Linked DNA regions of Ovis aries. The protein of the gene in region 1 interacts with the protein of each later gene in a biochemical or structural test. Links are inferred from orthologs where the notes say so. Each region holds a gene or a part of one and is shown in the gene's direction. Other genes may lie near its edges.

Region 1 (3,510 bases):
TTTTGCATACTCTTCAATATCTTCACTGAAGTTTTCTCTGACGCTCTCTAGCCCACTTTAACTTTTCCTACTTCAACTTATTTCTGTGCTGCTTATTCAACTGGTGCTGGAGAACAGGCTGCTGTATTTTAGTTTTTAGATGTTTGTCTTTTCTTCTCAAATAAGAACACAATGATGATGATTTCTGCTTCCTCATAAAACAAGAACAGTTTCTTATGCTAAGTAAATACATGTTTATCATTTTATTAATTTGAATTATTCTTTGTTTCAGATTCCTCTTTTTTTGTACCTGGTGTAGTGGCGGAACTACAATAAGTTTATTATCAAGTATTTATTGATAGAACGACTGAAATATATCTTCTTGAATATAATAAGCTTAAATACTTATTCCGTAGTGTATGATATTCTGAACAGAAATTGAGGTTTTCTTAAAGTAGTTCAATTCCATTTTTCTCGTATTTCCCTTAAAAAAATTGAAGCAAAACAAAATTTGGAGAGCTCATATACTGAATTTGTGTTTGTAATGTAACAGGATTTAATCAAAGATCTTAAATCAGAGTTAAGTGGAAATATGGAAGAACTGATCCTTGCCCTGTTCATGCCACCTACATATTATGATGCCTGGAGTTTACGGAATGCAATGAAGGTACTATATGGCATTTACTTTGAGTATTTTATCCTATTTCAAATGTAAAACCCCATAAATTATGGCAGTTCTGAGTTTACAGTGACAGGTAAACCAATATATTATTTTATATCATCTGAATATATAGAGCTTTTCAGTCTGGAGGCCAGAGTTATGTTTGGTGGAACATTAAGATTTAGTAACTTATATAAATTTGCTTTTTGTTTATAATTCTCTCTCATTCTCCCTTAATTTCACATAGGGAGCAGGAACTCAGGAACGTGTGTTGATTGAAATTTTGTGCTCAAGAACAAACCAGGAAATCCGAGAAATAGTCAGATGTTATCAATCAGAATTTGGACGAGACCTTGAAAAGGACATTAGGTCAGATACATCCGGGCATTTTGAACGTTTACTTGTATCCATGTGCCAGGTGAGTATTGAATTAAGTGTCTGAGTGTTGGTGGAGGGAACATTCTTTACTGCCTACTGCCAGTGGGCATTCTTTATTCCTTTTAATATCTAGCCCCCTTGGAATCTTGACATCTTTAAGAGGGACAACAGAGAATCATTTGTATGGGTTTCTTTATTTCTGTATTGAAAATGATTTCTGCAAATCTGGTTGTTGTAAGGAATCGGCAGTTAACCGCATGAAGGTTGTATGAAATCAGAAATCAACTTGAGGCTCTGTGTCTTAGAATGAAGCTGAGTCTGTATTTTTAAGGTTAGCATCGTTCTGCTAGTTAATTGGGACCATCAGCTGAAGATATGCAGGCCTGCTATGCAAGGTGACAAGAGTGAGACAGAAATGCAGGAAACATTTCAGCATCCACTGAAACACCGTGCTTAAGCACCTTCCTTGTTCTGATTCCCTAGATTTGCTGGCAGAGTTGCAGAAAATTCTCCAAATAGGGTATTTGGAATGATGCTATAAATAATCAGGGTATATTTGAAAAAGATGATGCAAAAGACTAGCATACTGATTCAGTATCAGGAGTTACTGGCTATCCCGCTAGTACACAAGGCTGGACAGTCTTGAAGATTCTAAAAGCAGAGGAGAGGCTCTCAGAGCAAAGGGATGTAGTTGCAGAAAAGACAATGTGCCAGAGCGTGTGGGTATGGAAATGAGAAAACAAAGCAAATGGGTGGGAGGACATTGAATTTACCACAACAGAGCCGGAAGGTAGCTTAGCATGAAAAGAAACTCAGAAACACAGATTTAATGCTAAAGAAATGATTATTCAGACTTTAATGAGGTGCTGAATGTCTCTTTATGCAGGGTTCAAGGCCCAACCATTTTATAAAATAAAGGACCCTCTTCCAGGAAGTGGCTTTCTAGGACAGTGGGACCATATTGTGTGCTTGAACCCAAAGGCAGTCATCTGGGGAGCTGGTGTTGAGCTCCTTCGCCTGTGCTGTATTCCGCCTGTTTAGAATAGGCTTGTACACATTGCTTGTGCCAGTGACCTTCAGAAAACAGTTCCTCAACCTTCAGGAACACGGCTCCATTCTGTTCCTCAGACAGACACTAAGACTCTAGAGGGCGACCTTTTCCTTGTTTGGGTTTATGTTTCTGTTTCAGAGAGAAACCAACGACCCATCCATCCAAGCTTTACTCTTACTCAGGCCCCGAGCTTCCTCTCTCCCTCTCTGCCCCATCCCATCCCAGGGAAGAGTTTGGTCTATAAATGGATACAGACTGTCAGCACTTGTGTTACTTACATATTAAGATTGCACTTGGATGAATGAAAGGAAGTTCACGAAGCCTCTATCCTGTATGCTTCCTCTTTTGGCTTAACTTCCTTGGAGGGAGGGGCCTTGTCTTTTCTTGGGTCCCCACCACATAGCACATCCTGTTGGTTCTGTTCCTCTGGAGAACCCTGACTAATACACTCTGGTACCAGATAAGAGCTCCATACCTTTTAGGTACATGGTAAATGTAAAGTGGAACTCAGTATAATGCTGATTTTAAATCCCAGCCAAGCAGAATCATACTTTGTTAATTTGAGTGGTAGTTCATATCTCCTAGGAGACGAGGTCCGCAAAGCATGGCTTAGGAGTCGCTTCATCATGAGAAATCTAAAGTTATTTCAGACCTTGGAGTTCAGGGATATCCAGCTTCTGGGACATCTCAGTGCATCTCTCCCCAAGCTAGAAGAGACAGTGCTCACTGGCTCAGAACATGGACTGATGGAAGGAGACCCTATCACAAAAGAAGCGAAAGTGAAATTCCCTTGATGCCGAGGGATTTCTCCCAGAGGGTGGAAGTGGCTGCATTGTCAGTGTTCAGGACTTGTGGGTCAAAGTCTGTGTGTGTGGCCACAGCCTCTGGAGGTGCTATAGTCTGCAGTTTCAGTACAGTCTCTTTCTCCTGGCCCAATTACCACCCTTCAAAGCACCTCCTCAGAGAAGCTTTCCTGGACTCTCCTGGGCCATTTGTCATTCCCTGCTCTGAGCCTGCATTTAATTCCCGAGAGTTTGGTTGTAGCTCTAATCCCTCTTTGGAGACATCTTTTATCTCCTTCGTGGGAGGAATGGAGTAGTAATAGTCATTTCCAATCTCTTTGGTTTGTATCATACCTAGACTTTCAATACCTGCTACTGGAGAAATGTTTATTGAATAAAAACAAAAAACCCCCACAGCTTGTAAACCAAGGATCAAACCCAAAAGAGTAATTTCTTTAAGAATCCCTGTCTCTTTAGTCTATAGAGAAAGCTTTTTAAACTGAATATCAGTAAAATTGTCTATACCTTCAAAAGTAAAATGTCTGCATAATTTTTTATGGAAACGTTTTCTAATTTAGCTCTCAAAGCCCTGTAAAACCTCTTGTTTTAATATAACCTCATCAAACCATGATCATACATTATAAAATCCATAGTTGGCA
Region 2 (4,304 bases), on another chromosome or scaffold:
TAGAGATTTTCAGTCATGTGAGAGGAAAAGTTTTGGAGATCTGCTATGAGGCACTGTAGATGCTTTTAACAATAGTGTACACTGTACACTTGGGCAGGAAGATATCAGGTTGTGTTTTTACTACAATAAAAATACTAGGGAAAAAATAAAACCCTCCATATGGGCCAAAGGACTCATATCTCTAATCTACCTTGATGATGACTGTGGTACTTGAAAACAGGAATCAACTTCCTGAATCAAACACAAAGCAAGTAATGTATAGTTGATTCGATATAAGACAACAGGAAATACTAGAATTTTTCTCTCAATTCAGGACTTTTATTTTGAGGTTTGGGGGATCCAAAAGAACTTGAGAGGGAAGTTTATACATGAGAGGAAAACAAAGACCCCAGTGAGAACCCAGTCCACCACATGAGCAAGCCCTGTCCCACACACAGCAGGTGCTCCAGTATTTGTTAAATGTTGGTGACTCATTCAATTTTTCTGTGCAACCTCCACAGCAAATACTGTGAATCTTGCTTATTGTTACATTTCTTAAAACAATAAGAAATTGTTGAAATTCAAAGAACTCTGCGTGATAGAAACTGCAGGAAACAAAACCAAACCAGAAAATCTCACGTCTGAATTGCTTCAAACTGTTAAACTGGGTGAAAAAGCTGTGAAGTAAAGAAAACTGTTTCCTGAATCACCTGAGTGAAACTCCAAGATCCAGCTCCCTTACCTTCCTGACAAGTGTGTTTTTACCAACACACTCTTTGCCTGCACTAAACTGTTCTTGCATAAAAAGTAGCTGAGTGATTTTGGAGACAGGATTGTTTTGCCTGAATCATCCAGATAACTGGAACAACTCAACTTCTAAGAACAATCCGGCCGAGGCTGCCCTGCCTACTAAGTGCCCGCTGTCCTCTTCAGGCCATATCCGAGTCACATCCAGCTTAAACTAGAGATGACAATGTCGCCTAGGAAGGAAACACGCCGTTATTGTTAAGTGAAACGGTCAACTCCAAATGCGCTCAGATCCTGAAATTCACTGCTGATGTCCAAAGGCGCTTTCGCAGCTTGGTTTTTCGAAGTCTCCTTTCCCTGAGAGCATCTCAGGGCTGCCCGAAGGCATTTGGCCCCTTCCCCCAGTACCACACTTTGCTTCCAGACCCGTAGGCCTGTCCAATAAAGTTGTTTAAAATACAAAACGTAGCAGAGGATGCTCGAGCAGGAAGAGAAAAAGAACACCCGGCGAAATGGGTCGGTGTTGGAACGTGCCATTCGTTTTGAAGGGAGGAGAATCCCAGGTGTGAACTGCATCCCGAGCGTGAAGTCATTTACCAGACCTCGGGGTCTTCAGGGCCTGAGAAGAGAAAACACCAAAGACCGGGCGGAGCGCAGGAAGGGGCGGAGGCCGGAAGCGGAGCCTGGCGCGGGCGGCGGCCCCAGGCGCGTACCCCGCGGGCCAGGGTGGTGCGGCCCTGGGCGGTCCCCGCGGGCAGGCGGGGAGGCGGGAGGCGCTGGGCGGCGGCGCAGAGTGCAGCATGGCGTATCCCGGGCATCCTGGCGCCGGCGGCGGCTACTACGCAGGCGGGGTGAGTGCTGCCCGCGCGGGCTCGTGGCCGGGGCGCGATCCCTGGACGCCCGGGGCTCCGAGAAGCCACAAGGGTCGTCTCGGCCGGGGAGGTTCCCGGGCGCCCCCGCCCTGCCCGCCGCCTCGCCCAGCGCCCCCGCCGGCCGGCCTCGGTCTCCGGCGACCTCCTTCCTCCTGTCCCTTCTTCCCCCCGGGTTGCTGCTTGGGGCCGGGACGCGCGTAGTTTAACCCAAGAAGCCCACCCTGTGCCTCCCGGATCCGCGGCGTGAAATCGTGCAAAAGGGGTGTTGCCTTCCGCTCCGCCTTCCCTAAGAGCAACAGCCATTTTACTCTAGAATGGTCCTGCGATCCACTTCTTTCTCTCTCTCTCCGAAATTGAGAGAAACGGGGAAAGTCAGGGAAAGTCCGCTAGAGTCGGAGACTTCCGGCAGGAAGGCAGCCTGGCCCTCAGTCTGGGACGGGCATCCTTTTGGGAACTGTTTCCTGAAGAGAATATTCCCTATCCGTGACACACCTCACCCTCCCGAGGCTACACCTGTCTCAGAACGCTTTAAAAATACCTTAAACGCTAGGAAAAATTATGCAAGACAATTCTGAGCCCTGCTGGTAAGTTGCATGGCCAGGTTGCATTCGTCTCAGTAAACTGCAGGTTAATGGAGATTTGCAGAGGTTACTTCATTTATACTGATGTCATTGTCAAGACAACTCATTTTGATCCTAGCTGCGGGTTTTTAAATTATAACTGGGATGAGAATGGGACAAAGGGAAGGAGTGATTGCGCCTATAGAGTTAAGGGAGGTGGGAGGGGGGGAGCAAACGACTGACAGCGAACCTGGCTTTGCACAAGGCACTCAGTGGTGAAAGGATAAAACTTGGTCATCGGATTTATTCATTTGTTCCCTGTCTTACAGTACGGAGGGGCTCCCGGAGGGCCTGCGTTTCCCGGGCAAACTCAGGATCCGCTGTATGGTTACTTTGCTGCTGTAGCTGGACAGGTTAGCTCTTCCCTTTAACATTAAAGAAATTTCAGTTTGTACATTTGTATTAACCTTTGTTACAGTCCCACGGAAAAACGACTGTTCCTCTGGAAAAGAATTCCTTTGCTTCTGCTCCAGAAAAGAGAGAGAGAGAGAGAGAGAGAGAAGGAAGTTCATGGGCAGTTATTTATTTTTGAATATTCAGAACAAACTGGGACAACGTGTTACTCTTGCTTATGTTCAATTCAGAACTAAACTTGTGATTGAATTAGGGTCAGATTGAACACAATAAACTAGTGTAAATATGCTTTGAAGATATGTAAGGTAGAAAGATGTCTTTAAAACGGTCAATTGTCAGGATCCAGACAGCGAATTTCCAGAGAAGAAATTCCAGGTCGACTGAACTTTAAACCTTTCTTTGTACAATTAGAATCATGTAGTACCAGTAATTCTGTAGCCAGATTCTGAGGGACATTTTCTTTGCATTGAGTTTGACTGTTAATTACCCCTTTAGGAAATGGGTACTCCAGGTTAAAACCCACTAGCTTCAAAATAAGGAAGGTACTTTCTTCTTGCTATCAGGAAGTTAATCTTGTGGCCAGTTTAGTTTTTCTTAGCTGCGGATGCTATTACTAGGTCAGCCCTTCCATGTCCTTGTTAGGTGTTGTGGTCTGTTGACCCAGACAGAGAATGAATTAAGGTCAACACCCCAAAACCTTTCACTTCTTCTAGTTGTGTGACAGGTGGTAGTTCATCTTGTAGGAGGCCTTTTTCCTCAGGTACCAGGTCACTGTATATACCATACTGCCGTTATAATCCAACATGTTCAAAGAGGACATTTGTGCTTATGAATTCAACCTAGCTTTCTTTTAATCAAAAGCTAGAAATAGCACAGTCTTGATGTGAAAATGCCTGTAGACTGTTATGGGATAAAAACGTGTGACCACCTTCTAGAACAGCACTGGAAAAAGTACAGTTTGAGAAACTGAATGGAAAATTGAGTCTAAAACTGAAAGAGCTTCCCCTAAGTATCTGCTTCACCTGTTAGTGATCAGTATCTTTGAAACCACAAGACACGGCAAAGCTCAAGTCTCTGCACTCTTAGACCGCCAGGACCAGGAGCCATGAAAGGCACCCACCTGCTTAGCTTTCAGCAGCCCTGGTCTGCGGCAGCATGTCCATCGTCTTTCCCATTATTGATCGTGCCTGTCATCTAGATTGTATAATAGTCATGAACTTGAGGATTTGGGCATTTTATTTTAAAATCTAACGTGTTTCTAGTTCTGACCTAGGTCAGCCAGTGAATAGGCATGGAGAACTTGTATAATTGTATAACCAGCTATAATTGTGATCTGAAAAAAACATTCATCATATTCTAAGCAAAGGAGATCACAGAGGCTGCTTTTTGTGGGAACCAAACTTTTCATTTACTGATGTCATCTGTGTACCCAGCCCTCCACCCCCTCAACAGAAAAAAAAAAAAAAAAAGCGAGGACAAGTAATAGAACTTCTGATCAAATACATAAATAATTGTATTTTAAATTGCTTACTTTTGCAGTTTCCTAGTTCAGAGTAAGAGTAGTTAAGGGTAGGAGCTAGTTGTATTTATATGTTTAAAAATATGTCTCAGTGGAAGAAACTGAATTAATCTTACTGTTTTATTAAGAAGAGGAACCGTATGCTTTAGAAGTTATGCCATCTAATTCAGGAATTTATAGGAAATGACAAAAAGATATTGGTAATACCAAAGC

The links.
Region 2: the proteins of ANXA7 (region 1) and SRI interact in a biophysical measurement, tested with the Homo sapiens proteins (2 studies listed by BioGRID and IntAct, with this or other methods). The link is inferred for Ovis aries from reciprocal best matches to the Homo sapiens genes ANXA7 and SRI.

Annotation. Positions count from the first base shown.
Region 1 is NC_056078.1:28,611,563-28,615,072, reverse strand, and holds part of ANXA7 (annexin A7), read left to right. Parts: intron 1-532; coding exon 533-646; intron 647-887; coding exon 888-1,058; intron 1,059-3,510. UniProt on the Homo sapiens protein: Calcium/phospholipid-binding protein which promotes membrane fusion and is involved in exocytosis.
Region 2 is NC_056057.1:73,943,559-73,947,862, reverse strand, and holds the start of SRI (sorcin), read left to right. Parts: upstream 1-1,495; 5' UTR 1,496-1,526; coding exon 1,527-1,577; intron 1,578-2,487; coding exon 2,488-2,571; intron 2,572-4,304. UniProt on the Homo sapiens protein: Calcium-binding protein that modulates excitation-contraction coupling in the heart. Contributes to calcium homeostasis in the heart sarcoplasmic reticulum. Modulates the activity of RYR2 calcium channels.